7 linked regions of the Danio rerio genome follow. The protein of the gene in region 1 interacts with the protein of each later gene in a pairwise test. Links are inferred from orthologs where the notes say so. Each region holds a gene or a part of one and is shown in the gene's direction. Other genes may lie near its edges. The genes, in order: atxn1a, sybu, rbfox1, sf1, zc3h10, mettl17 and vstm2la.

What was found.
Region 2: the proteins of atxn1a (region 1) and sybu interact in binary tests that used the Homo sapiens proteins (3 or more experiments, as listed by UniProt). The link is inferred for Danio rerio from reciprocal best matches to the Homo sapiens genes ATXN1 and SYBU.
Region 3: the proteins of atxn1a (region 1) and rbfox1 interact in binary tests that used the Homo sapiens proteins (3 or more experiments, as listed by UniProt). The link is inferred for Danio rerio from reciprocal best matches to the Homo sapiens genes ATXN1 and RBFOX1.
Region 4: the proteins of atxn1a (region 1) and sf1 interact in binary tests that used the Homo sapiens proteins (3 or more experiments, as listed by UniProt). The link is inferred for Danio rerio from reciprocal best matches to the Homo sapiens genes ATXN1 and SF1.
Region 5: the proteins of atxn1a (region 1) and zc3h10 interact in binary tests that used the Homo sapiens proteins (3 or more experiments, as listed by UniProt). The link is inferred for Danio rerio from reciprocal best matches to the Homo sapiens genes ATXN1 and ZC3H10.
Region 6: the proteins of atxn1a (region 1) and mettl17 interact in binary tests that used the Homo sapiens proteins (3 or more experiments, as listed by UniProt). The link is inferred for Danio rerio from reciprocal best matches to the Homo sapiens genes ATXN1 and METTL17.
Region 7: the proteins of atxn1a (region 1) and vstm2la interact in binary tests that used the Homo sapiens proteins (3 or more experiments, as listed by UniProt). The link is inferred for Danio rerio from reciprocal best matches to the Homo sapiens genes ATXN1 and VSTM2L.

The regions. Positions count from the first base shown.
Region 1 is NC_133194.1:34,917,448-34,920,947, forward strand, and holds part of atxn1a (ataxin-1a), read left to right. Parts: intron 1-1,081; 5' UTR 1,082-1,393; coding exon 1,394-3,178; intron 3,179-3,500. UniProt on the Homo sapiens protein: Chromatin-binding factor that repress Notch signaling in the absence of Notch intracellular domain by acting as a CBF1 corepressor. Binds to the HEY promoter and might assist, along with NCOR2, RBPJ-mediated repression. Binds RNA in vitro.
Region 2 is NC_133191.1:43,582,123-43,585,364, forward strand, and holds the end of sybu (syntabulin), read left to right. Parts: intron 1-1,052; coding exon 1,053-2,127; 3' UTR 2,128-2,742; downstream 2,743-3,242. UniProt on the Homo sapiens protein: Part of a kinesin motor-adapter complex that is critical for the anterograde axonal transport of active zone components and contributes to activity-dependent presynaptic assembly during neuronal development.
Region 3 is NC_133178.1:26,815,796-26,819,855, reverse strand, and holds the start of rbfox1 (RNA binding protein fox-1 homolog 1), read left to right. Parts: upstream 1-1,260; 5' UTR 1,261-1,300; coding exon 1,301-1,333; intron 1,334-4,060. UniProt on the Homo sapiens protein: RNA-binding protein that regulates alternative splicing events by binding to 5'-UGCAUGU-3' elements. Regulates alternative splicing of tissue-specific exons and of differentially spliced exons during erythropoiesis.
Region 4 is NC_133182.1:22,792,832-22,796,331, forward strand, and holds part of sf1 (splicing factor 1), read left to right. Parts: intron 1-205; coding exon 206-281; intron 282-3,109; coding exon 3,110-3,262; intron 3,263-3,351; coding exon 3,352-3,441; intron 3,442-3,500. UniProt on the Homo sapiens protein: Necessary for the ATP-dependent first step of spliceosome assembly. Binds to the intron branch point sequence (BPS) 5'-UACUAAC-3' of the pre-mRNA. May act as transcription repressor.
Region 5 is NC_133181.1:54,969,596-54,973,787, forward strand, and holds the start of zc3h10 (zinc finger CCCH domain-containing protein 10), read left to right. Parts: upstream 1-1,392; 5' UTR 1,393-1,409; intron 1,410-2,610; exon of another isoform or gene 2,611-4,192. UniProt on the Homo sapiens protein: Specific regulator of miRNA biogenesis. Binds, via the C3H1-type zinc finger domains, to the binding motif 5'-GCAGCGC-3' on microRNA pri-MIR143 and negatively regulates the processing to mature microRNA.
Region 6 is NC_133177.1:40,857,928-40,862,161, reverse strand, and holds the start of mettl17 (ribosome assembly protein METTL17, mitochondrial), read left to right. Parts: upstream 1-1,434; 5' UTR 1,435-1,548; coding exon 1,549-1,626; exon of another isoform or gene 1,627-2,045; coding exon of another isoform or gene 2,046-2,051; intron 2,052-3,797; coding exon 3,798-3,936; intron 3,937-4,037; coding exon 4,038-4,187; intron 4,188-4,234. Other genes in the region: parp2 (poly [ADP-ribose] polymerase 2), read right to left, coding at 30-203, 284-487, 953-1,025. UniProt on the Homo sapiens protein: Mitochondrial ribosome (mitoribosome) assembly factor. Binds at the interface of the head and body domains of the mitochondrial small ribosomal subunit (mt-SSU), occluding the mRNA channel and preventing compaction of the head domain towards the body.
Region 7 is NC_133198.1:46,996,155-47,000,093, reverse strand, and holds the start of vstm2la (V-set and transmembrane domain-containing protein 2-like protein), read left to right. Parts: upstream 1-1,139; 5' UTR 1,140-1,306; coding exon 1,307-1,424; intron 1,425-3,939.

The DNA.
Region 1 (3,500 bases):
AAAAAGAAGCAGGAAACACTGATTGAGAGAGTGCTGAGAATAAACACCCTGCTCAGCATCAATAGCCGTCAATCACTGATGTTCAGTCGTTGTGTAACCATTCTACTCTACTTTGACTTAAGAGCAAACACAGAGGACATTCTCCTGCTGTTTGTATTCAGCTAAGGACTGCTGTGTCTACTTTAAGAGATGGTATTACCTTTGTGAACCTAAACACAACCTCTACTATGTATTAGTATTTCCTTTTAGTGTTAGTATATATATATTATTTCCTTGTGGTACATACGCTACTTCAAAGAATATTATAATAGTACCATGTCTAAAGAAGCATTGTTTTAACATGTCCAAACAGTTGTAGTACAGTCTTGGCATCATATAGTAATACAAAGATACTTGCATAAGTCTCAGTACCATGGTACATGTCCAAAAAATTAGGTAGTACTGTTTGGTGGTACTTTATGCTATTTTTAGTAGTGTCCAAATTAAAGGGAGGGTTTCGCTTACATCGGTATCTGCCTCCTCTTTTATAGCACTGCGACACTTGTTAAATCATCTGGGCCTGTTTATCATGCAAAACCATCCTCCCACTAGTGCTGGACAACAGACGCAGCTGAATGGGTCCAATCAATAGAGCTCAGGGAGGAATGTCAAACAAGCCGTAACACTGCACAGCATCATTGTTTTGTCACGTGTCTCCCCATACAATCTAGAGTAGGAGGAAGAGGAAAAAGAAACTGTGCTAGCTTTCTTATTTGATGGACAATTTTTAACTTAACATCCAATATAGAGAGACAGTTCTAACTTTCCTAATATACTTATGCATTTATCAGTTTGTTGAGGCATGTTATTTTACAATAAATATTTGTTGAGCTGCTGTTAAGATAGTCCTCTGTAAACGACTGCAAGCTATTTGTCCATTCAGCACCACTGTGGCATAGAAATAAATCCTGATGCACAAAATATTTACAGCCTTCATTTTTTGGTTTCTCATTTTCTTCAGTTTACATGGCTTTATCATCTAAAAGCTGCTGAAATTATGTTTGTGCATTAAACCTGATTATGTTTCTTTATTATATTTCAGGTTCTTCCTGCAGTCCTGGAGACTCTCTCTCGGAAGGAAATGATTCCACATGAATTGCATGGACCGCTCTCCCGCAGCAGGTGTGACTTCAATTGCTTAAGACTGAAATCTGTGTCAATCCGACCATAGGCACAGGACACATCCCCTCTCACCACCACTCTCCTCTCTACCCCATTCCCATACTCGCTCCAAGCCAATCAGTAGGAGGGCACACTCTGTTAGCAAGACAAACGGAGACCAGGAGGGAGAGGAAAAGAGCCAAAAAAGGGGAAAGAAAAATCCGGAAAGAGTGGTTCAAGATTTTCAGACACCATGAAGTCAAACCAGGAGCGGAGCAATGAATGCCTGCCCCCAAAGAAGCGTGAAATCCCAGCAAGCACTCTGCCCTCAGAGGAGAAGCCCATGGTGATGGCGCCTGCCAATGAGAGCCAGCGTGGAGGGAACCTGGCTTGGCTTGCCAGTCTGGCCAGTGGGCATGACAAAGGCCGGCTGCACACCAGCACGTCTGCAGAATCAGATGGGCCTCAATATAAACCATTGTCAGCCACGGCTGAGAGCACACCTTCCTCGTCCACACACTCAACCAGAGCTCTATCTGCAGTGACCACCATACCTGCAGTGTACACATCACCTCTCTCCCATTCTCCTAGCGCAATCCAGTACACACCCCTCCCTCACAATATACACTTCATCAACCCTCCTTACTCTGCACCATACGCTGGCTACATCTCTCCACTAGCTCCCCCTTTAGCTGCCACCACTACCACACAACGTGAGATTTATGCCAGCTCCTCCAGTTCTCCAGCATCCAAAATTGATCAGCACCACCAATTGGGCCGTCCTCAAGGCCTGGTCACAACTGACAACACCTCTTCACCTCACTCCACTCAATATGTTCAAATTGCTGGTTCTCCACTAAGCATATCCCCTCGAACTGTTTCGTCACCGCATACACACTTGCCCCTACATTTACATCCTCACCACACACTTCCCCTTAGTGGCCCTTCACAGGTCTTAGTCCCATACACAGAAAGTCTTTTACCCAAGAGGGAGGAGATGAGGACCAGGGAGTTGCTGAATGGAGAGCTGGAGAAGGACAGACGTTTTGGTCCATCTTCTGAGTCCAGTGCAGGGAAGCAGGGCAGCACTGCCAAAGGGGGTTCCTCTGCCCAGCAGCACCAGATCCACCAGCAGCAGAGCCCACGTCACTTTGAAGCTCGACATGTTGTGCTACCTGCCGAGTACACGCAGGACAGCACAGCCATGAGGACCTCATTGGTGCTGGTACCTAATAATCATAGCTCCACTAGTGCTGATTCTGGAGGTGCATCAGACAAGCTGCCTCCCTCGACATCCCACCATGAAAAAGGAGGGATTTGTGCTGGCAAACCTGTCTCCCGCAGTTCCTCCTTATCTTCCTCCCTTTCATTTGCTCTTCCCCCTCCACCTGTGGACAATCTTAAGGGAGCAGTTCCAGCGCAGTCTCCTCATGCAGTCATTCAGACCACACTTAACAGCACAGAGTCACTCTCTCTAAGCCTCCCCTCCACTAATTTCTACTCCACCCAGCAGCCTATCATTGGTTACTTTGCCGGCACAGGGCACCAGCAGCCTCTCAGCTACCACACCACCTTACCCCAGCACTTGGTCATCCCTGGAACTCAGCCGGTCATCATCCCAGTAAGTGGAACTGAAGCTACCGCTACATCAACTGCTGCACTGCCCCATGCTTTCGTCACCTCAACAGCCCCCAAAGTGGAAACTTTTGAATCTCCGGCTCCATACCCCCACCCTGCCACAGCTATGGTTCAAGCCCAGTTGCATTTGCCTGTGGTTCCAGCACCTGCTGGCCTGCTGACAACTCCACCCCCACCCTCAGCTCCTTCAATGCCACCCTACTTCACCAAGGGCTCCATCATCCAATTGGCAGATGGGGAACTGAAGCGGGTGGAAGACCTGAAAACAGAGGATTTCATTCAGAGTGCTGAGATTAGCAACGAGCTGAAGATTGATTCCAGCACTGTAGAGCGCATCGACAGCAGTCATACAGCTAACTTTGCTATAATACAGTTTGCTGTAGGAGCGCAACGCTCACAGGTGGGTTCATAAGTTTTCTATTTAACATTGCTGCTTGTAGACACATCTGAGTATCTGTTTTTCTTATGCACAAAGATAAGCGGGGAAATAAACTTGAGATTGATGACTATGTGATATTAATCAAACACTGTGTACCATGTCTGCACGTGGTAGTAAAGGGTTTATTATTAAAAAAAAAATCTAATGGAGTTGACCTTTGCCTAAGTTTTAGGTGTGTGTACAGCAATTATATTGTCCTCCATATATTATATATTGCCAATCTTTATGAACCATAACTTCCGTTTGTTTCTTGCCATCTCTGAAATTAGCATTTTTAACGAGT
Region 2 (3,242 bases), on another chromosome or scaffold:
GTATATAGTCACATGTCTTGTGTTTTCTATAGTTTTTGGGTGAACTCTGCACGTTTGCTGTAAATAATTTGGGCATTCTGCGTTATTTACACTGTACAACGATAATTTGCTTATGTTTGTGTGTTTGAATTGACTTTGTATGCAACTTACTTGCCCAAATTCTTAATTCCATGTTTCGTGTGAACACAACATAAGCTTTCATCACTGCCTCATGACTCTGCAAGTTCTTAACATTACATCACAGTGCATTTTTGCATTTACAGTTGTCACTTTTTATTCACGGGAGTTATGTTCTAAATATAGCCCGCAATGGGCAACCTGTAAAGTTATTATAGATGTTTTAAGGCTGTAAAACCCCTCACTACACCTTTTATACACTTTTTCTTAGACCGACAATAAAATTTTCACACTTTTCACTCTTGTTTAAGCACTCTCAAAGTTCAAACTTTCATAGAAAAATAAGTCCAGTTAATAGAATGCACATGATAGTTGGAAGTAACACAAACTGGACGCGCATATTCGCATGTTATTTAAAATGAAATTATTCAGATGGCACTTTGTGGCATGACAAAAATATGAACAGTGTACTGAGTCGTAGCTGGGCACCACAGACAGTCCCCGACTTGCAGCGCCGGTGTGTGTACCTTGATATAAACCCATGTTTACAATTTTAAAATGCATGGCATTGTGTGGCGTGGCACATCCGGTATGGCCCCATCGAAGATTTGTTAATTTAGTGAACTAGGCACATTTTGTACTGTACAGAAGATACAGAGAAGATTGATTGACAATGATCTACAGCCAATCCGGACGCAGAACACAATGCGTTGTAAAAAAAAAAAAAAAACGCATGTCAAATTGTACAGAAAAAATCCACGAAATGGCAAGGCCACAAAACTTGAACTGCATCATGGCGAGTGATCACTGTACATGTGAACTTTATTATTATTTTTTTTTTAATATAGAAAAAATACCCATGTATGTATGGCCATTGCCTAAATATGAATCATTCTGAATTTCCTCATCAATTGTTTTAATTTGACTGGTTACAGGGAGTCTGAGATTGAGGAACTGAAATCTCAACTGGGACGTATGAGGGAGGACTGGATAGAGGAGGAATGTCACCGTGTTGAAGCTCAGCTGGCTCTTAAAGAAGCCCGCAAAGAGATCAAACAGCTGCGCCAAGTGGTGGAAACCATGAAGAACAGCCTGATGGAGAAGGACAAAGGCATACAGAAGTACTTCATTGATATAAACATCCAAAACCGGAAGCTGGAGTCCTTGCTCCACAGCATGGAGTTGGCGCAAAATGGATGCAACTTGCAAGATGAGCCGACGCTGGATTTTATCTGCGAGGCTCCAGAAAGTTCTACCGAGGCGAAGATGGAGCTGGAGCTACATTGTGGGGAGCAAGCAGTGGAAGAAATGGCGAATAGTGAGCTGCTCATCAATGATGAGATGGTCAACAGAGTAGAGATTCTCATGTCAACCGCAGTCGATTCCAGCCAAGATGGAAGCACCAAGATCATCTCCCAACCAGGACTTTCCTGCTTGGAGCCGAGTGTTTCAGAAAAGAGCACCAAAGAGCATGTCTCAAGCATTCCAATTGGTGCAGAAGATAAAGGTATTCAGACTGATGATGTGATCTACAGCACTGATCTCCAAACACTGCTTTACCAACTGCTAAAGCTCCAGGGTGGGGGATTTCCAGGCCTCCTCGTTCCTTCTCCCAACCAATCCCATGATATCTCTTCAGCACAGGCTCCCAAAAAGTCACAAAAGGAGGAGTTACCTGAAGCACACGAGCAAGATGTTGCCATCAGCACTGCCCAAATTATTCCCAGTGATTCTGGTTTGGGTTTTTCCGAGCCTGAAGTGGGTCCAGAGTTTATGGAGGAGATGAATTCGAAGAACAAGGCAGTGGTTGGGAAGAACCACTGGAGCAACAACTTCTTTGTGGATTTGGTTGCTGTTGCTGCACCCGTCCTGCCCACCGTGGCTTGGCTTTATTCGCAGCATGGTTTGGTGGGAGGGGCTCCGGTCTACAACATAGCTTCATTGATTCGAGGCTGTTGTGTTATGGGATTGCACTCGCTCCGTCATGTGTCTCACGGGCCGGACACTTAGCGGCCCTCACCTACTTCTACAACAAGAGCACTTAAATCTTCATCTTCAAGTATAAATCGTGTTTTGTACACTCGTGATTTGATATGCATAGTTTCTGTTTAGCTGCATCATTCCTATTTGCACTGTATTTTTGCCACAAAGGATGAATTCAAGGGGATATCAAGGGACTTGTTTTGTCTTATTTCTGTTATTTATTGACCTTTTTGTTTGTTTATTTATAAATATTTTTGCATAATCTGATCATCTTGGTAGGTGGTTATGTTGCTCGAGTCTTATTTGCTGACTGCGATTCCCTGCTTTTTATAAAAGAGTCAATAGGGGTTGACTGTCAGTTAGTTGCGACTTTTTTTTTGTTGTTGTTGTATAGTTAAAGCATCACTAGTGTTCCAAAAGAACTGAAACCTTCTGCCAAAGCTTCAATGTGTTCAGCGTTTTGTGTTAAGTGAAACTGTGTTTCTCTCCTTTGGAGTTTAGAGCTATTATGTGTTTCCTGAAAAGCAACACTTGCCACAGTACAGCGAACACTTGTTATGTGCCTGAGCTATGTGCAATATTTTTGTTAATATGATATGTATATCATTATATTTATTATTAAAGCATGGAAAACCCCTTCAAGAGTGGACTTTTTGTTTTGTGTGGGAGGTGCTTGTCTTATGTCTGTTTCCACTGAGTGGTATGGTTCGGTATGCTTTTATGGCCGTACCACTTTTTGGGTACCCTATGCGAAGGGTACCTACCACAACAAAAGGGTACCAAAAAGCGGAGCTAGACACGCAACTGGACGCTATTTGTTTGGAGATGCATCGTTCGCTCGTGCAACAAGCCAGAATGATAAAGGAACTGCCATGTTTCAAATACACAGCTGATACATTACACCGTAATAATACATACAGAAAATAACGAGACATGGTAGACCTGAGTTCAAACAAACCTTGACGTCGTCTTGATAAACAGCTACAAAGCCAAGAAGAAGAGCAGAATTCACCCTGTGCCCCGTCGTTTTTTTACAAGGCCGTCTAGAGGTTTCGCTTTCTAGTGTGCACTCGTTGCGTGTCTATACTTAAAATAACAAACTTCTTGATCTGATAATAATAACGTATGCATGATTATTGAAG
Region 3 (4,060 bases), on another chromosome or scaffold:
ACACACACACACACACACACACACACTCATACACTACAGACAATTTAGCCTACACAATTCACCTGTACCACATATCATTGGACTGTGGGGAAAACCGGAGCACACGAAGGAAACTCACGTGAACGCAGGGAGAACATGCAAACTCCACACAGAAACGCCAACTGAACTGACCCAGCTGAGGCTCAAACCAGCGACCCAGCGACCTTCTTGGTGTGAGGACCTTCTTGGTCAGCACTACCTACTGCGCCAATGCGTCGCAAAAATTATAATTTTTTAATTTAAAAATTCCATTTGTTTTAAACACGTTTAGAAAAATCACTTGATTTTATAAACTTTATGCAGGTCTCCTCTGATACTACCCCAAAAATAAATAATAATAGTAATTAATATTATTATTATTAGTAGTAGTAGTAATAGTAGTAGTATTACACTGTAAAACCCGAAAGGTTAAGGTAACTCAAACCATTTTAGGAAACCAATTGCAACAAACCATTTAAGTTCAAAAACTAATCCTAATGAGTACTGTGACTTAATCCGTAGTAAATGATAATACACTCATTTCATTTCATAAAGTTGAATGTTGAGTTTTTACAGTGTATTATTATTATTATTATTATTATTATCATCATCATTATCATCATCATCATTCTTTTGTGTTGATTATATTTTAGATTTCTAGGCTTTAGAGCAAATCTAAATTTGTTATTTTCTTTTATTTTTACTGTAACAGCATATGTACATTTTTTTTTACTTTTTTTATTCTATAACTGATTTATAAATATTAGATTTTTCTATTTTTAAATTACTATAAATTTGTATTAGTTTATTCATTCATACATTCACACATTGATTTATTATATATATTCCAGGTTCCTTATATCTTTAAAAAAAAAAAGAAACACCAGAATTAATTGTTTATTTTCCCAAGTTCATGAAGCAGTACAATCCCTTAAGCCGCACATTCACAAACAACAAGGGCAGCTTTCACATCATTTCACATTTCACAATCTATACATCACAACTCTGAATTAAATGTACTTCTCGAGCTCACCAAACGGCCTAGCGTTTCAGAGGCTCACACATTAGTTATGAACAGAAAGAGAGAGAGAGAGAAATTTTGGAGCCCAGCTTTCACTTGCATTAGTTCCCTCCTCCTTCTCCACCCCTCCCTTCCCTCCCACTCACATACTCACACACTCACTCGCTACACACACAGCGCCGAACACACACCCTCATCTATAATTGATGCTTGCTTTAGGCAGATGCTGCAGGGATTGGGACTAAGGCAGCTGCTTAGTTTATGGAGGAAAAAGGGAGCAAGATGGTGGAACAGGTATTTTTTTTTCTCCTGTTATTCTGCTTACCAAGCGCATTACTGCATTTTTTTTTCCTCCTCCTGCCCGTCTTGCTTTTGTGCTGCGGCTGCACAGTAGAGCGGGGCGGCTTGTGTATGACAGCATTTGAGTGTGTGCGTATGCGTGTGTGTGTGAGAGAGAGAAAGAGTGAGAGCGTGCGCTTTGAAGAAAGAGGGAGCCCCCTTCAGCAACTCTTTTTCAGGCTGCCTTATCAGCAGCTGTTTTGCTTTCTATCTCTTCTCCTCGTACCTTCTTTTTCCTTGCTGGTTTTCCATCTCCAAGCTTCATTTCGGGTCGATCCAAATGGCTAAACTCACAAATGTTGGCAGGCACGATCATTTAAATGAGCCGGGTTCCGTCATCCACCCTGAGAGATGGAGCGAGAGAGTTTGTCGGGCTGCTCTTCAAACGCTTTATTTGGCCAAACACAAGCGCTCCGAAACGTACACCGTTTTAGTGCCTCTGCGCTCCACCTGGCTTTCCATCATTTTTAAGGCATCAGCATGCGCTTGAACTCATCGCGACCGTTTGCGAAATTTAGAGCGAGGGAGGCGTAGGACTGGTTGTGTGTGAAATTATGTTTGCAAAGTGTTGTAAAAAGCCCTTTACCAAAACAAAGCTGCGTGTGTTTGGTAAGTGTTTGCCTGGAAGCTGAGCGCAGTGAAGTGATGAATCCAGCGCGCTGCCACGTAAAACATATTTCAGTCCTCCAAATGTGGTTCTCATTAGGGTGGAGGCCAAAGCATTTAGCTAAGCCTGACTGTCTGCCATTCCTTTTTATTTTTTTTTTTCTCTCAGTGTTTGCCAACAGCTATTTTACGAGGGCCTCCAAAAAAAAAAAAACCTCTCTTGACTATTATGACCACAAATGTAGAGCCTCCCAGTTGACTTGCACCGGCAGGGGCTTCCCACACCGCCGAGGCACCTCTGTCTTTTTTGCTGACTTTCCTTCCACCCTCCCTTTAACGTTTCTGACACTTGTGCATAAAGAGTTTAGCACTCCTGATCAAATGATAGTCTAATTATGGCATGGTGTGCCCGCTCTTGAATATCAATGTGTTACGCAAAGTGCTGATGGTGTTAATGGGAAACAGCGTGATGTGTGTAACATCTGCTTAAGGAACAGCAGGGATTTTTTTTTACAAGGTCCCATTTACAGAGTAGCAAGTTGCGGCTTCCCTCCTGGCTCTCCTCGACTCGTTCTCAACTTGCCAAGAATGAAAATCCTGTCATTATTTACATGTCATTCCCAAGCTGACTTGGGAGGAATCCAAAAGGTGAATTTTTGGAAAACGTCTTGGCTGCTCGTCGCAGCACTCGGATTTACACTTTTGACAAACACTTTCATCCAAAGCGACTTACAATGTGTGCATTTTTTCCGGCCTGATGTCTAAAGGAAAGTAACTATTTTATGTGTTGTCAGAGAAGTGGTTAGTTTGTATGAATTTGTAGGATTTCACGTCCTAAATCCCTAAATCTACCCCTTAAAAGGGGATGAGCAAGTCATATTAAAATGTGATCATACCAATTAGCCATTAAATCAAAAAGTAATGAGTGATGAGATTTGAAACGTAAATTTTAAAAGACTGTAAAAAGTGAACTCATCAAAAAAGGGAGTAAATCCATTGCCTTAAAAGTGACAAGTGGATTTTGCTTGAAAATTCTTGTAATTCTTGTAATTCTGTGGTTTTACATTCACTTACTTGATTTTTTTAATCATCTTCCTCAAACCTTTAAGGCAATGGGTTTACTTAATTATTTAAAGTAAAGTCAACTAATTGCTTTTTACAGTGTACCCACTTGTTTTCATTGGCCTATTGGGAATTTATTTTTGTCAGTTTTATGCCTTATATGTGTTTCTTTATTCTCACCATCTTTTTGTATTTTTAGTTTTATGATGCTATAAAGCACTTCAGTCGTCAGTCTTGTGGCTGTTTTAACCATTAATTAAATGAGAAAACGTGAAACTTGAACATAATCTTGATGATTAGCAGCAACATGTTCAGTTGTTAGAGCAGTGAATGGGAATAGCAGCTGTCAAGCCTTGAAGGGATAGTTCACCTAAAAAAAAAAAAAGAAAATTTTGTCATAATTTACTCAACCTTTGCGTGATTCAAACCTTTAGGAGTTTCTTTCTTCTGTTAAACAGAAGAAAAAGACAATGTGAAGAAAGCTGAAACTGTTAAACAGTACAGAGAAAGGTTTGGAACCACTTTAGGGTGAGTAAACAGTGAGTTCATTTTCATTTCTGGGTAAACTCTCCATTTAAAAAGGTACAGCACAGTTAAAAGTACAGTAAAACTGCTATAAATGTGGACCATGTGATGTCAGTGGCCATATACACTACTGTAAATCTAAATTTAGATATTATTTTAGAAATAAAGGTACAGCATGTGGTATGGCTTGACTCATGAGTGTTGCCAGATCTTCCTTGATAAAAAAAAGGAAAAAAAAAAAACAAAAAAAAACAACAGGAATAAGAGTAAGTCCATGAACATAAACTAAAATTCTTTATCATATTAATAAATAAGACTAAAATATATAGAAGTGTGCACTGCAATCATTATTTTAAACTGGAACATCATTTATAATAAGTGGACATGGCAGCACTTCGAGATCGTGCTGTAGAGATCAGCCTTACAAACATAAACAAAATGCCTCTGTTCACTGTGGTTTAGTTAAAATTACTAACCATAATGAATTTC
Region 4 (3,500 bases), on another chromosome or scaffold:
AATACTACAGAGGATCAAATGTCTTTACTTGACCTTGATTCTTAGTGAACTGTCAATTTACCATGGTAATTTTTTGTTTGTTGCTTAACCCTAGTCACATTGAGTTTTACAGTGTACTGATTCTGGTTTTGTGGGGTCTTTTTGTTGTTAACCACATTTTTCTCCATCCTTGTTTTTTTTTCTTTCCTAACCTGATTTCTTCCAGTCCAACTGCAGATTGAAGACCTGACACGTAAACTGCGTACAGGAGACCTGGGAATCCCTGTTAACCCTGAGGACAGGTCGGAATAACGATTTAAACCCACCAACAGTAACATTTTCTTTACCTTTTCAATGCGCCAATTTAAGTGAGCCCAGTTCGTAAGTGTACTAGTGTCTATGTAGGGGTAAGTAATTAAGTGACAGAAATAAGTTTAAATGCCTTGCTTTTAACTGACATCATATCTTTGCCTCTTAATTGAAGAGTTTTGAAAGTTCTTTTATTGTAATTAAATAGATTGTATTACAAACCTAAACTTTTCAGTGTTTTAAACACTTTTTGTATTTTTAAAGGGTCACGAAATGCCAAAACACATTTTTTGAGATCTTGATAGTTATATAGGTGTCTCGCGTTGCTAAAAACGCTATTAGGACACATTAATTTAGCTAAAAAATGAAAATTGGTTGTTTTTGCATTGTTTAGAGCAAATTCATTCTCCTGGGTTGAAAGGAGAAATTTTGTAGCAACATCACAGCGATGAGATCATTATGTAAATTCCAGCGTGGAGATTGGCTGTCTGTACCAGTTGGTACAAAGTGACACAATTGAGTTTTTATTCAGCGTGCTCTAATATAAACAAGATGCAACTTCATTAATATGCATGATATAGCTTCGAAGCCCCCTTTTACCTGTTACAATGTTTAGAGAGATACCATGTTGTGTTGCCAATCATAATTCAAACAAGTAGAAGAATTGTTATGAGACGTGAGTTGTAAGTGTTGCATTTATAAATGTGCCGCAACAGGTTTTGTTTCCATTTCCCTGTGATGAGAGCACAGCTCGCATGTGGACCCACATGTGTGGATTACAGTGGTTTGCTAACATGCGACAAAAATGTTTGTAAGGGACTTTTTTTTTTTTTTTTTTTTTTTTTAAACGAGAGCTTTTCGAAAATGATGAATTGACGAATCTAGATTTGCCACTCATCTTTTAAAAAAAAAAAGAAAAAAAGACCTGGTTCCAGTTTTGATGTTTACAGGTTTAGTAAGTGTGCAGTCAATGTTCTTTGTTTGTTTATTCAGATGGCAAAGTTAGTTAGTATCATCAGCAGTACTCTTATTTTTTTGAAGACATACCTTAGTCAAAATGTTTTAGTTACGAAGTTACTACAATATTAAGGACTAAAAGATCTGCTGTAAAATGCTGCTCCGAATGCAAACACCTTAATCAAACTATTACTGTTGTGTAGTATTTTTTTCATGGCCCTTTAAAAAACATCTGATCTGTTTTGTATGTGGAGGCAAAGATTAGAATAAAGGCTATTATTGTAGGACATTGTCATACAAAAAAATCTGACTTTCATTGGCTAGCCAGTGTTACATGCTTTTGAAATTAAGTTGTCTTGCAGAACATATCTTAACAGAGTGATGATTAACTCGACCCATCAAAACGTGTAGGCATAAAACCAACAATTCTTTTGATTGTCCAAAGTAAATCTTGTTTACTTTTATTCTGAACTGTTTTTGTAGATATTTAATTGCATGCTTTTTCATGTGCTATGATACTTGTGTATTATTAGAAATGCTGCAGTAGTTTAATTGATTCTCCCAGTGTAGTTGCTGTAGTTGAAGATAGTAGGTTCGGTCATTATTTAAGTTTTTGAAAGTATTAATTTTTTATTAGATTATATATTACATTACTGCCCTTTTTTTCTAACCTCCGAAATCCAGTCTTAAACACATTAAAGTCCTTAAATTAAAAAATCTGAATGGTTGGTTAATTGGATGGTCAATAATGGTTTTCCATAATGGGGCTACCACCATTTTGTCCAGGAACTTCCACAGTATTCCAGATTTCCGCACTGGAAGACCGCTCGGAGGAGTCTCCTCTGAACTTTTCTTTCTGGAATAACCTTAACCTTAACACTTTGATCACTTTGGCCACTCATAGACTTCATAAGCATCCAACATAGCAGGAATGTCATGTTTCTGACGTAAGAGTGTCTTTTTAGTAGCCACATCCCTTGCTCTCTGAACAGCCTTAGGTTCTCCGGCAGAATCTTAATCCGACGTTTTTACACCGCCAACTCTTCTTAAAGGTCTATCCACTCCAGGATTTAGGAACGATTGCTCATCAACTTCCAGCTCGCCAAAAACAAAGCTGGAGGTGCTTCAAGTTGTCAGCGCTGGAGATATCAGCCCAAAAGAAAACCAGCAGAGCATTCTTTTCTCTCTCCCCCCAACCCTCTTTTCTCCTCTTCGGGTTACCTCTCATGAACTTGTCACGTTTGTGTGGCTGTACTGTTTGAGAGCTGTTGAAGGTTAACATTTAATCCAAATTTATTTCTCTAACCCAAATTCCCAGTCTCGTAACTTTTTTCAAACACAGAGCCTCATTGTGCAGGTTAACAGGTTTTCAGCACCGTCCAAGGGAAAGGTAACATTTGGGATGCTCTTTGAGAGCATGTGATGAGTTAGATCAGCGTTCAAGAACAGGCGCTCAAGTGTGTTGGTTGCCCCGTTTGTCTCAGATTTTGTCCTGTTGTTCATCCTGCAGAAAAATTGAGACAAACCCATTTTAGTTATGCTTAAATATAACTTGAGACCCAAATTTTGCAACCGTTTTTTTTAATAGAAGCTGCTGACTTCTCTGACTTTTTAATCTGAACTTTTTTCCCTTCCTAATGGTTCAATATAGTTTTCTAGGGTGCGTTATTTTTTTTGTTCGTCTCGTTTTTGTCACTAGAACGTGAGCACTCTGGGGCATCCCATGCACTTTTTAAATGACCTCCAAATTAGTCAAACACATCTCAGTCAGAATAGGCAAGTCATTGAATGTTTAGCTGTTGATAACCATTACAGGTTTTGCATTTTGACGCCGTTGCATCTTTCTGTTCTTTCCTTTCCTCAGGTCTCCATCTCCTGAGCCCATTTACAACAGCGAGGGAAAGCGGCTTAACACACGTGAATATCGCACGCGCAAGAAACTGGAAGAAGAGAGACATTCTCTCATTACAGAGATGGTGGGACTGAACCCTGAATTCAAACCTCCAGCTGACTACAAGTATGGCTACTAGAAGTGTTGTTTTTGTGTGTGTAAACCTCTTTAGCTCTGTCGTGTCAGGTAGTTTAATTGTTTTTCTTATTTCTCAGACCACCGGCAACACGGGTCAGTGATAAGGTGATGATTCCTCAGGATGAATATCCAGAGATCAACTTTGTTGGGCTTTTAATTGGGCCACGGTGAGTAGTGTGTCTTTGAGCTAGAGACTCCCAAGTTAAAAAACTGATAGCGCAACGCA
Region 5 (4,192 bases), on another chromosome or scaffold:
GGAGTAATAGTGAACTGTTCAAAGTACAGAATATTTTAGTTTATTTTCTCCAGCTGATTATTTCTTTTTTCTTTGATAAAATTAAAGCTTCTAAGTTCTGTTTGTTAAAACCAAAGCTGTCTTGCAGTGCTGTTTTGGTAATAAATGGAAAGCAAATTACATTTGTCTCCTTCCCTTTTTGGCTGATCTGAAAAATGGTCATATCGGTGACTAAACCATAATGTAGTCCGAACCGTGAAATTTGTGATCAATTACACCACTAGTTTTAACCATATTCCTATCATATCTAGTGGATTTAAAATACTTATTCTGGATTTTTTAGTGCTCCGTTTCAATTCAAAGGTGTTTATTTTAATTGAACTTCCAGAAATCTCAATTCAGTATCTCTTCCAAACCATTCATTTTTATTGAAAGGAAATTAGTACATAATATTAATTACAGAAAACACGTCATACATTGGTGATGCTAATCTGTAAGAGTATATCTGTTTTGATCTGTTCACCAATGTTGATTTGCTTGATGTAAAACCACCTTCTTTTCTTTTTCTTCCAGGTTCTGTGCCCACTGCATTCCTGGTCGACAACTGAATCTTTATAAGATTATTGGAAATGAACATTGATGTCTGATGTTCTCATTAATGTAAAAAATAAACTATTGACAACCCTCATGCTGTAGTGAATTATTGGCTCTTGTATGTGAATTAAATGCTGAAATCTTGTGCAGTAGTTTATGTATATTAAAGTTGGAAAATTACATCATTGGAAAATTTATTTTAATCCCAAACTCCTAATTCTGTCCAGATATCTGTTGTTCCAATACATTTTTGTGTGAAGTAATGGATTTTACTCCTTAGAGGTTTATTATTATTATTATTATTATTATTATTATTATTATTATACATTTATTGTTAAGGATCAGATATTTAATTTTTTAAAGCAGCATAAAAGGATGTTTATTGTATCTCTTCAAGTGAAAACAGACATGCCAACTTTTTCTGAGAATGAAATCTTGTACTGTACTGTTTCTGAGTATACTAGATGTTTCTAATGTATGTTCAGTGTCAATAAGAGCACATGTAAACAAATAACACATTATTATTAACATTTCCTTCGCAACATCCCGTTTTTTTACCATAATTTTTAGAAAAATACGGATGTACCATGTCACATCCATGTACTAGCAACATCTCTATTTTGTTGCACGTTTACCCTGACTTGAGGACTTTTATTTTGACGTTCATTTTCCCCGTGAAGTGCTGCACCGGTAGTGCTTCGAAAAAGAAAAGGGGTCATTCATAGAGCAACTTGTGCTATAATGTTAGCACTCGCACTGTTGACACATGCTCCGTTTAGCTAGTAATGTTGTTCAGTTTATTCAACTTCGTTGGTTCGACCGGGTTTGTGGAGCGGGTAAGTTATTAATGGTAATGGTTTAGCTTCGCGTCTTTGTGTCTTGTCTAACGTTACCCGCGTTATCCGGGCCTTTGTGCCTGGAAGTAGACTGCGTGTTTTAACATTACTTCATTAGCTGAGTGTGGATATACTGCAAACTTAACGAAATAATGTCACCAACAATGTTTGTTTACTTATCGGACAACACACTTGGTTGTTCATTCACATTGAGTATATGCCGCAATGTGCTGTTGAAGTATTTGGCGCCTCATAGATTTGACATGACAACACACTGCTAGTAAACAAACAGTCACAATGGTTGTTTATAAAGATATACACGTTTAATATATCAGGTACGACAAGAGGTTGGGGGAAAACATTAAAATAAAATGTAGTTATTAAAATTATTACATACTATATTGATATTATATGTACACACTGCTACAGCTAAGTATATTTGAATTTATTTGGCTATAATAACAAAGGATTGCCAGTCTTTCTCGGTTTACTGCAATCATTAGGTATGGATTCGAGTTGAATGCTAATATCTTATTTGTTCTATAAAAGGCTGTTGTTTCTCCCAATTTCTAAAAAAACAAACAAACAAATTTTTAGCTTATTGTGAGTCATTTCAAGTGTTTTTTTTTTTTTTGAGAATAGCCAACATTTTTTTAAGGTCAATAAAAACGGGGTTATTGATTTTTTTTTTTTTTTATTCAATTCAATTCATCTTTATTTCTAGAGCTTTTTTTTACAATGCAGATTGTGTCAAAGTAGCTTCACATAGAAGATTATAGTGAATTGAAACAGTGTCAGTTCACCAAAATTAAATAAAAAATACCAAATATTGATTTATTAACTCCTTTAAAGTTCAATATAGGGCGAGGCAGTGGCGCAGTAGGTAGTGCTGTCGCCTCACAGCAAGAAGATCGCTGGTTCGAACCTCGGCTCAGTTGGCGTTTCTGTGTGGAGTTTGCATGTTCTCCCTGCCTTCGGGTGGGTTTTCTCCGGGTGCTCCGGTTTCCCCCACAGTCCAAAGACATGCGGTACAGGTGAATTGGGTAGGCTAAATTGTCTGAAGTGTATGATTGTGTGTGTGTGTGTGTGTGTGAGAATGTGTGTGTGGATGTTTCCCAGAGATGGGTTGCGGTTGGAAGGCCATCCGCTGCATAAAAACTTGCTGGGCAAGTTGGCGGTTCATTCCGCTGTGGCGACCCCGGGTTACTAAAGGGACTAAGCCGACAAGAAAATGAATGAAGTTCAATTTACAAGTATCTTGCAAAATGCATTTGGAATAGGATTGTGGGAAATTATTAACATTTACAATAACAAGTGTTTAGTGTTTTGGTGCTGCGTTGTTATCCTTAAAAGTTGTTATCCTTAAGATCCTTATCCTTTAATATATTCTCAAATAATTCTTCTTCTGTTTATTTCTGACTAGGTTTTTTTATTATTAATTTGGAAGCTATTGATCCTTTTCACAAGACAGTTTAATGATCATCAGCATCTTAAATCTTTGAACTTTTTAATACAAAAAAAGTATGAACATTTATATATATTATATCTAGGCATGGGATGATAACCGTTTTCAAAGTATACCGCAGTTTGAAAAAGTTAAGGTTTCAAAAGTTTCTGCAATGCCGTTCCTAAGGTATGTGTAAGACTTTTTATTTACATTTTTTGTTTGATTTTAGGACAACAGTATCTCCAGCAGAAAAGATGCTGTTTTCATTTGTACAAAAACTGAAACAAAAGACGGAAGAAGTCAATAATTTTTGTAGCCTGACACATTTACTGTTCCAAAATATTATAAAGGTTTCTCAAAATAAATTATAGTGTGTTCAAAAGGAAAAAAAGTTTTATTTTTTTTTACCCAGGCATTTAAAAAGACAATATTTTACAACAGTAATCACTATACTGTGAAAACGTGATATGATTATCCAAGGTAATCATATGGTCAGAATCTTATACCGGCCCATGCCTAATTATATCAGGCTGGTGTCCTGCTGAGTATGGCTGTTTCTCAATGTGTGTTCTTCAGTGATCTTGTGTTCTCGTGTAAGTCATAATCAACTGCCAAAGTTCAGTTCTAATAGGGTATATGCCTATCTAGTGTTTTTCCCATATTGATGAACTTCCGGTGACCTGTTATTGTGAACTTTCTTCCATTTTATACGGCTCCTTTCACAGCATTAATGTTGTAATGTCATTGAAATACATTCAGTTAAATAAACTTTGGCATTCATTTAGTTGCTCAAGCGCAAAACGAGACAAAGTCGTTTATTCGCACGCGCCTGTCAGAATCGGCAGGCTAGCGCAGAAGCTCCATTGAATATACTGGGGTAAAATAAATGCTCATATTATAAAGACATGGCGGGGTAAAATGTCATTTAATGCAGTGCTTCTTGTACAATCTGAGACCCACTTTATGTCAGATATTACTTAGCTAGTGGAGATCGCTGATTTTAAAGATGACAGACCTTAAACGCGCCAGTTTTTGCATTGGCATACAATTCGCCTGAAACGCTTAACCCAGGTTACTGGCAAATTGAAAGTCCTATTAGCATGCTTCGCCATATACCCTATACTCAAGACTGTAAAACAGAGGACGCGAGAAAGTTCCCGGCTGTGTTTTTGACATCGAGGATGCGTCGATGCATACTTGAGTGCAAAACTCGCTCGAGAAGTCCAAGAAGTCATTGCGGTTGAATAAGGAGGTGGGAAGCGCAGCAGTTCATATAAATTTATTAATTAAGTACGGAGATATAACTTATTTATCTCAGGAGTGTTCCTAAATGAAA
Region 6 (4,234 bases), on another chromosome or scaffold:
TGCTAAAATTAATTCGAGGGAAGCATCACCTTCACATTCTTCTTTTACCACAGGTTTGTCTTTGTTCGCTTTCTGACTCCTCCCTTCATTGCGTCTCTTCTTGGAAACGGGCTGCTCCTCTTCCTCCTCTTTTTCTTCTTTAATCTGAACAACACCTGTTGCTTTTTTATTACCATTCAAAGCATTCCCTTCATTCAGATCTTCTGCAATAAAACAAATCAGCTGCTGTTAGTTTCCTGACCCAGAGGCTTATTCAGTCACATACAGAAGCACGCAGACGTACCTGACTTCACTTTCTGAAGGCGTATTTTTCGTTTGTACTTGCTGACAGTATTAGTCTGAGTCATTTTCACAAGATCCACTACGTAACCAGGTCCGAGCGCAAGCGAAACAGACTTTTCACCAGCCTGCTTTGCTGCATCCAGCTGTTCGCAGACCTCTGAAGGATACGGTTCCCATTCATCTTCATCCCCTTTCCACTGCCAAACTAAAAACATTCATAGTTCATAATCATTCATAATGTAAAAATATGCAAATCTGAAATGAAAACAGTGCAAACATATTATTTATTAATGTTTTAATGGCTTATCAGCAACACTGGCTATATTCATGGCAACATCGGTAATACATATTCACTACTTAATATACAAATAGGTTTCTTGATAAACAAACAAACAAAAAAACACACAAAAAACAAACAAAACACACAGTCAATGATTCTACATATTAAAATTCTTCCAGGGGACTGTCACATCTATAAACTCAAAGTGATTTAATGGTTAAAACAGTCATGCTGGGGTGGCTGTGGTGTACATTTATATATATATATATATTTACTTGGAAAAGCAGTCAATGTAAATGTGCAGAGCTTCAGTGTATGACAAAAAGTCTTAAAATGCTGATTGTGTAACTTTGGGTTGTTTTGGCATGTTCAGAGAAAGCGAATTCATACCCGTCTTCGCCTCTGAAGCTTCACTGCCTGAATCTGCCACAGACTTGTCCCTGCAACTCCTTGTTCGTCGCATGTTCCCGGAAAACAGCTAAAATTAGGAGAAAACGTCAAAAGAGGAAACGTTTCCGGTGTATCACACGTTAGCAGTGAAGGTATGGGTGTGACGTAAAATTCCTAGTTATGTAGTTAGGAGGTGGTGAATTATGACATGAGTCACCATAGTGATGTATTCACTTCCTAATAACGTAAGTTAACGTTAGCCCGGAGTCTTGCGGCAAAACACGTTTCGGAGAACAAAATATAGGATAACATTACGCTTTATCCCGCTAAAATGTAAATAATGATAAGATTAAAATAGTTTTCAACACTTACCTCAGATCACAGAGCACAACTGGGGCGTTTTAAATGGCGCGAAAAGTATAACAGAGCGGACTCCTGTCTAGGAACGAATTGACCGATTTGTTTCTACACGGATTTATTTTGAAGTCGGTAAAACGACTGCTTGAGCATGCGTCCGTACACCGATGTTACCATGTTGTGTTGTCTTTAAAGTAGAATTTCATTTGTACGCAGGTTTTAATAAACGAGAATAAAGCATGCATTTACTGGGAAGTCGAGTGTTTGTGAAATGTTCAAGGTGCCATGTGGCTTTGTCTTTGAAAGAAGCGATCCGGGTGAGTAATATGTCAGTCAAACTTCCATGTCATTCTTAGTAATAAATGATGTGAAAAGAGCGGAGGGAGAGTAGTCTGAATTGGGTTCTAGCATGTTATGCTAGCTCACACATCGCACTCATTCGCCAGCCGCGAGTGTTTCCAAGTCTGCGCGCGTCATTCAGTTGATCCGCTGAATGTGTGCGAGCATCAACGTCTGCTGCGAGAGTCGCGCGCGTGACCCGATTTTCTGTGCACTCGCTCATCATTCAGATGATGTCCTGCTAGGTCAGCGAGGAGCTCCTGTCTCAGACCTTCCCCGAGGTGTTGGCGAGTGACGAGCACTCAGTAAGTGACCTCTACAGTGAGCTTCCTTTCGCTGAAGATTCAAGTGAGGATAGTCTGATATATATAGGGCGTGATCAGGGCTATTCGTTTCGATGATGGTGAGAAATATACTAATAATTTATTTAGTTTGTTAATCATTTGTAATTAATATATTTGTGTGACCTTAATTATTACCTGAGAAAATGTTTTTTGTCAACTAAATGTATTGTATGAATGGTTTAAACACTATCAAATGTTTTGAGAACGAGAATGTGTTCATTGCTCTGCAGTGATTGGTTAAATTTGTGATTGGTAATGAATGTGGCCTGGCTACTTGATGATAAATGCCAGGCATAATTGCTACCCAATAAATACCAAATTTGTCAAATTTAATAACAATATTTCCCATACATACTCATTTTGTACTCAATATGATGAAACACTAAGTCATTTATTTTGGGAGTGGATTTACTGTAAAGTGTTTTGGGTTGACTTCCAATTACATCAAAAGAAATTCTTATTTCAAAACTTTTATATTTCCCCAAAAATATTTCTAGTATTTCTAGTATTCTAGTATTCTTTCTATTCCTACTCTCTGAACTTAGATCCCTCTTATTGTAAATGTATTATTTATTATCTCATGATTTATTTATTTTTTTTGGCAAAATTTTACATCCACAAATTTACATTTTCTAAGAAACACCCTGTTTAATTTTAGAAAGGATTTATTTGTAAACTCTGTGAAATACTCTAATAATTATATTGCCAGTAAAACTCTTAGTGTAAATCATTTTAACTTGCTTAATTTGCTGGAATTTTATTTATGTAACCGTTTTTGTCTCTTTGTTCATATTGTATCTTTGTAAATTTTCTTCCTTGCATGATAAAAAAAGATAATGGCAGGCATATCTATAAAAGCACTTTCTTTAAAGCAGTTAGAAACACTAATTTAAGCACTGCTATTGCTCTTTTCCTAAAAGAGCAGTTGTAGTGAAAAGTTTTTTTATGTAAAGTTAAAACTTTACATAAAATTTATAGTAAAATGAAAACTAATGAAAGTATGAATAAAACCATATTTCTTTACAAATGATACTAATAATCTTTAATGACAAAATATGTAAGATCTTTATTTAATTTCACTAGAAAAGTGTTATATTTTTTGCTGACTTTTACACTTACAGTATTTCCAGTGTTTTGAGGAATGTTCAACTCATTCTAAAAATAAGCAATTTTAACTAGTGACACATGCTAATGACATCATTCACCCTCGATTTTCAGTCGTTTTATAATTTAACTCAATTCATCTTTATTTCTATAGCGCTTTTACAGTGTAGATTGTGTCAAAGCAGCTTTCTAGTGAATTGAAACAGTGTCAGTCCAGTTTTCATTGTTGAAGTTTAGTTTAGTTCAGTTCAGTGTGGTTTAATTTTCACTGCTGAGAGTTCAAACACTGAAGAGCAAATCCATCGATGCCCAACTCCACAGGTCCCGAACCATGCAAGCCAGTGGCGACAGCAGCAAGGAAAAAACTTCACCTATAGAAAAACACCAAAGATGCTTAATATGCCTTGCATTTTATTAGACTGCACATAGTAGCAATATAACAGAATCATAAAATGTATTTAATATATAAAATGTATATACTCATCCTTGTTTCTTATTTAACACAAAAAAGATAATTTGAAGAATGTTGAAACCCGGTACCCATTAACTTCCATATAAGGAACAACAAATGCTATAGCCAGAACTACCTGGCTGTAATTCTGCCAAAAAGATACCCTTCAACCACTAACCATTATTCAAAAAAAATTATCAGAATTATGTGATACTGAATAAGTCAAATGTGCTTCTCATTGTCTTGAAAGTGTCAGAGTTCCGCAGCACCTCTGGAACAGGCCGACTACCTGAATGGCGCTCCTCACAGAAAACACCCGGGTGTTACAAACCTGAAAACAGTGCAACTGCCAGAGCAACTGCAGCTAGCAGCACAGTCCATCTTACAGAGTGAGGAACCAATGATCTGCCAGCCTCAGTATTAAAGATTATGTTTTCTGAATTGACATGCTAAAGTAGTGTGTTTTATATGCTTTTTATTTGATATGTAGGGGCCGATGTAAAAAGTCTGACGGAAAGGGCACAAAAACTCTCTAACTTCCTTTGGAGCAGGAAGCGGGTGATAGAATCTTCACAGCTCAGGGAGAAAGCCATCATTCTGGAGAGGAAATTTTTGGAGGAAGAGAGAAATGTCAGTGAAAGTGAGTTATTGATAAAAGACAAAATGGAGAAATGTCAACACTGTGGT
Region 7 (3,939 bases), on another chromosome or scaffold:
CAAAATATGTTTAATTATTCATATTAGCATCATAAAAGTAATATGAAGTCGTTTTACTCACCAGTTGACATAATTTTGGTTTGATGTATGAACTCTAGCAATACCTGGCAACATGGTAGAATTTATGCATATATAATATATAGCCACTGCATTTTCTGGTCACCAGTCATTGGCAAAACTATAGAACTATGTTATGGATGCAAATAAATTTTATACGAGTTTTACATCTGTAGTTTAAACCATTTTTTCTTTCTTCAGGATGGCTAACTACTATAGTACTTTATGCAGCATGAATAATGTTACTTTTTTTTCTTCGTTTGCCACTTGGTATGCACTCAAAGCACTAAAAGAGCTGAAAAATGTATCAGTGCAATGTGCTTGACCTTACCCTCCATTTCCAGCATGGTGAAACGCCTAGAGGTAATGTATTTTTCCTTTTTTCTTCTACTCATTCAGTGTAAGAACTTGAATTTTAGATTTCTACACTCAACATTCAGCCTATAGATGCTGTTGTAACACAACAATTATAGTTATATAAATAAGTGACTCAATACTGTAGTTTTTTACAACCATATAAACAACATACTTTAGTAAACCATTTACTGTAGTAAAAACTAAAGTATAAAACAGTAGTTTATCAGTTCACTATAGCCTCCTTAATACGCTATAGAGTACTGGATCATTGATTAACATTTATTAAGATGAAAATACTAAAATATTTAAAATATAATAGCTATTACAGTTAATAATAATAATAATAGTGCCGTTCGAAACAATATGTACATTCAATTAAAATGGTATAGGAGTTCACTGAAGGGGAAAAAAGCCAAGCCCAATCAAACTAGAATTATTAGTAATAATCTAATTCTGCTGCCATCCATATTTCATACTTGTTGAGTGAAATAAAACCGCCTACATTCACAGTCACCGGTTATATTTACCTCAGAAGCATTTCAGATGTAATTTTCCTTCCACCCACGGCGACCGTCGAGCGTTGACCGTTAACTGAAAAAAATCTCTTCACAATGTTATTCCGCCTAATTGAAATTCCCCAATGACAGCCAGCGCGCTCCCGCTCCCACACTACGTATCCCTCCGCCGCGCTGGTTAGATCCGGGAGTTTCTCTTCGCGGAGAATCAAATCGCATCAGTGGGCGACTGCAAACGCACGCAGCCTCCTCTCAGCATCTCCTACCTTCGCCTTAAGGGACAAAACCAAACATTAAACACTGCCCAACACCTGGATCTATCTCCTAAAGCCGTATATTTTCACCTGATGTGAGAGAGTGTTTTGCAGGGAGCAGTGATGGGCGCGTTTGGAGTGATTCTGAGGAGTTTACATTGTATGGGACTCTACATCCAACTTAGTGCCAGTGTCAGACAACCTGGGGGCGATGATGTGGAGAACCACATATCCAGCAACGGTAAGATTTTCCGGTTCACATTCACGGGTTTGTGGTCGGTGTACGGGTGAAACTGGGAAGCGATCCGCGCGCAAACTGCACAATGATGGAGATGCGCAGAGCAGTTCATCACCAATATATACATATATACAGCAGAGCACACAACTGCACTGAGCTTATTTACAGGTGAAACATGACATTTGACGGTGAAATCATGGTATTTCAAAAGTACTTTATGTCCTATACCAGTACTTCAAGGAATGCAAAGGTTTTGCCGTCATTGGTTTCAGGTGGTATTGTGATTAACACAAACCAATGTACCCAATTTAAGATATTTAACAGAATATGTTAAATTACTAGTGTTAAAGACATGATTTAGAGTGTGGATCAATCTAATGGAGCCTTTTATATCCTACAATAACATTGTGCAAGCTTTATGGTGATATTATAAATACTGTTTTATAGTAATACACGAACCTAAACATTGATTTTATTTGCTTTCTGAATCATTCTTTTATAGTCTATGCTTTTGGACTCTCGAAATGTGGTTGTTTAGTTAGCTTTTTTTGTAAAATGATTGATGATTTGATAATAGATTGCACCATGTGAAAACAATTATGCTAAAGATAACTATCAAATACCTCTTCTTATCAAAAATATCCGAAATACCCCTTCTACAAAATATTGTCATGATGCTTAAATCACTTGCAAAATACAGTAGTTGCTTTTTCTTTCTGACAAGCCATGTTTTTTGGTGAGATTCACCCAGTTTAATAGTTTAATCGTTCATTTTTCAATAGCATACTGTCATTAATGGTACCGGGTTGTATAGTGTTAAACACGCATCAAAGTACCCACTTTTAGATACTTAAAATAATCAATTGAAATACTATTAGTATTTCTATTAGTGTAATAGTACTACCATGGTTAAATCGTTACCACTGAAACATCATACAGTTGAAGTCAGAATTATTAGCCCCCCTGTTTATTTTTCTCCCCAATTTCTGTTTAACTGAATTTGTTTTTTTTTTTCAACACATTTCTAAACATAATAGTTCTAACAACTGATTTATTTTATCTTTGTCATTATGACAGTAAATAATATTTGACTAGATATTTTTAAGACACTTCTATACAGCTTAAAGTGACATTTAAAGGCTTGACTAAGGTAGTTAGGTTAACTAGGCAGGTTAGGGTAATTAGGCAAGTTATTGTTTAACGATGGTTTATTTTGTAGACTATCGAGAAAACAAATGAGCTCAAAGGGGCTAATAATATTGTCCGTAAAATGTTTGGGTTTTTTTCTCGCCGAAATAAAACAAATAAGACTTTCTCCAAAAGAAAAATATATTATCAGACACACCTTGAAAACGAAAAAAGAAAATTCAAAGAGGCGCTAATAATTCTGACTTCAACTGTATATAATAATAGTTTTAAATGTGGATCAATTTAGATGTCCCCATTTATATCCAAAATACCATGGCGTAAGCTTTACTGTGGTATTCCTTAGCTTCATCAGATGATTTACATAAAAAGACACAAACCTACCTATGCAGGAATATGATTTGCGTTTATATCTTGATTTAGACTCATTTTGACCATGTTCTTCTAGTCTTCATCACACTCAGGGTTTTTAGACTCCCAAAATATGTTTTTTTATTTGCTTTTTGAAAAATTTATGACACAATTGACAAGATAAGCTGATCAGTTTTTCCTTCTGACAAGCTTTTTTTCCCGACAAGTTACTTTAAGAGGTACAAACCCAAGTACCTGAGCACCTCAAAATACTGTAGATTCCAAATCACAGTATTTTATAGCTTTTAAACCATATACACTAAAAACAACTCATTTTTGCTGCTTGTTAAAACGGATTATTTAAAATGAGCTGAAACAACACAATTCTTGATTTTCTTTTTTGGACAACTTAATTATTTTAAGTTCAATCCACCTGTATTTATTACATTAACTTAATGGATTTGTGTTGGGACAGCACAAATGAATAGTGTGAAACCCTGTATATCACAGTACTGTCCAGAAATCGAATGTAAAATTATATTTTTGGTCAATGATGGTCTGTAAATTGTGGTATTTTTACACTTTTTTGATTGATGGCCATACTAATGCTCTATTGATGTTGTTAAAAGTACCGTGTCTGGTTCTTTTATGTGAACTATATTAAATGATTACTATATTTAAGGTGCTTATTTAGTTTTTGTACCATGGTGTTGCTCTATATAGTCTTGTCAGTGAAACATGGTTGAATTTTGCTGTTACTTTTTACCCCAGATGGTGATATCAGTACGAAATAATCACAATTAAATACAGCCTTTTACTAAATATTGATATTTTTGGGGGTTTTGCCATGGTGCTAATCTGCATTGCTTTAATAGTAGCTATTTTTTGACGCACTTGAGATTTGTTTAATCAAATAGTCCCTTTCTATTGTTTTCCTCACAGAAGGAACAATTATGTGCATTTCAAGAGATCTCATTTTTAATTCATCATTGTAGCATCTTGATGGCGAATGCATTGTTCA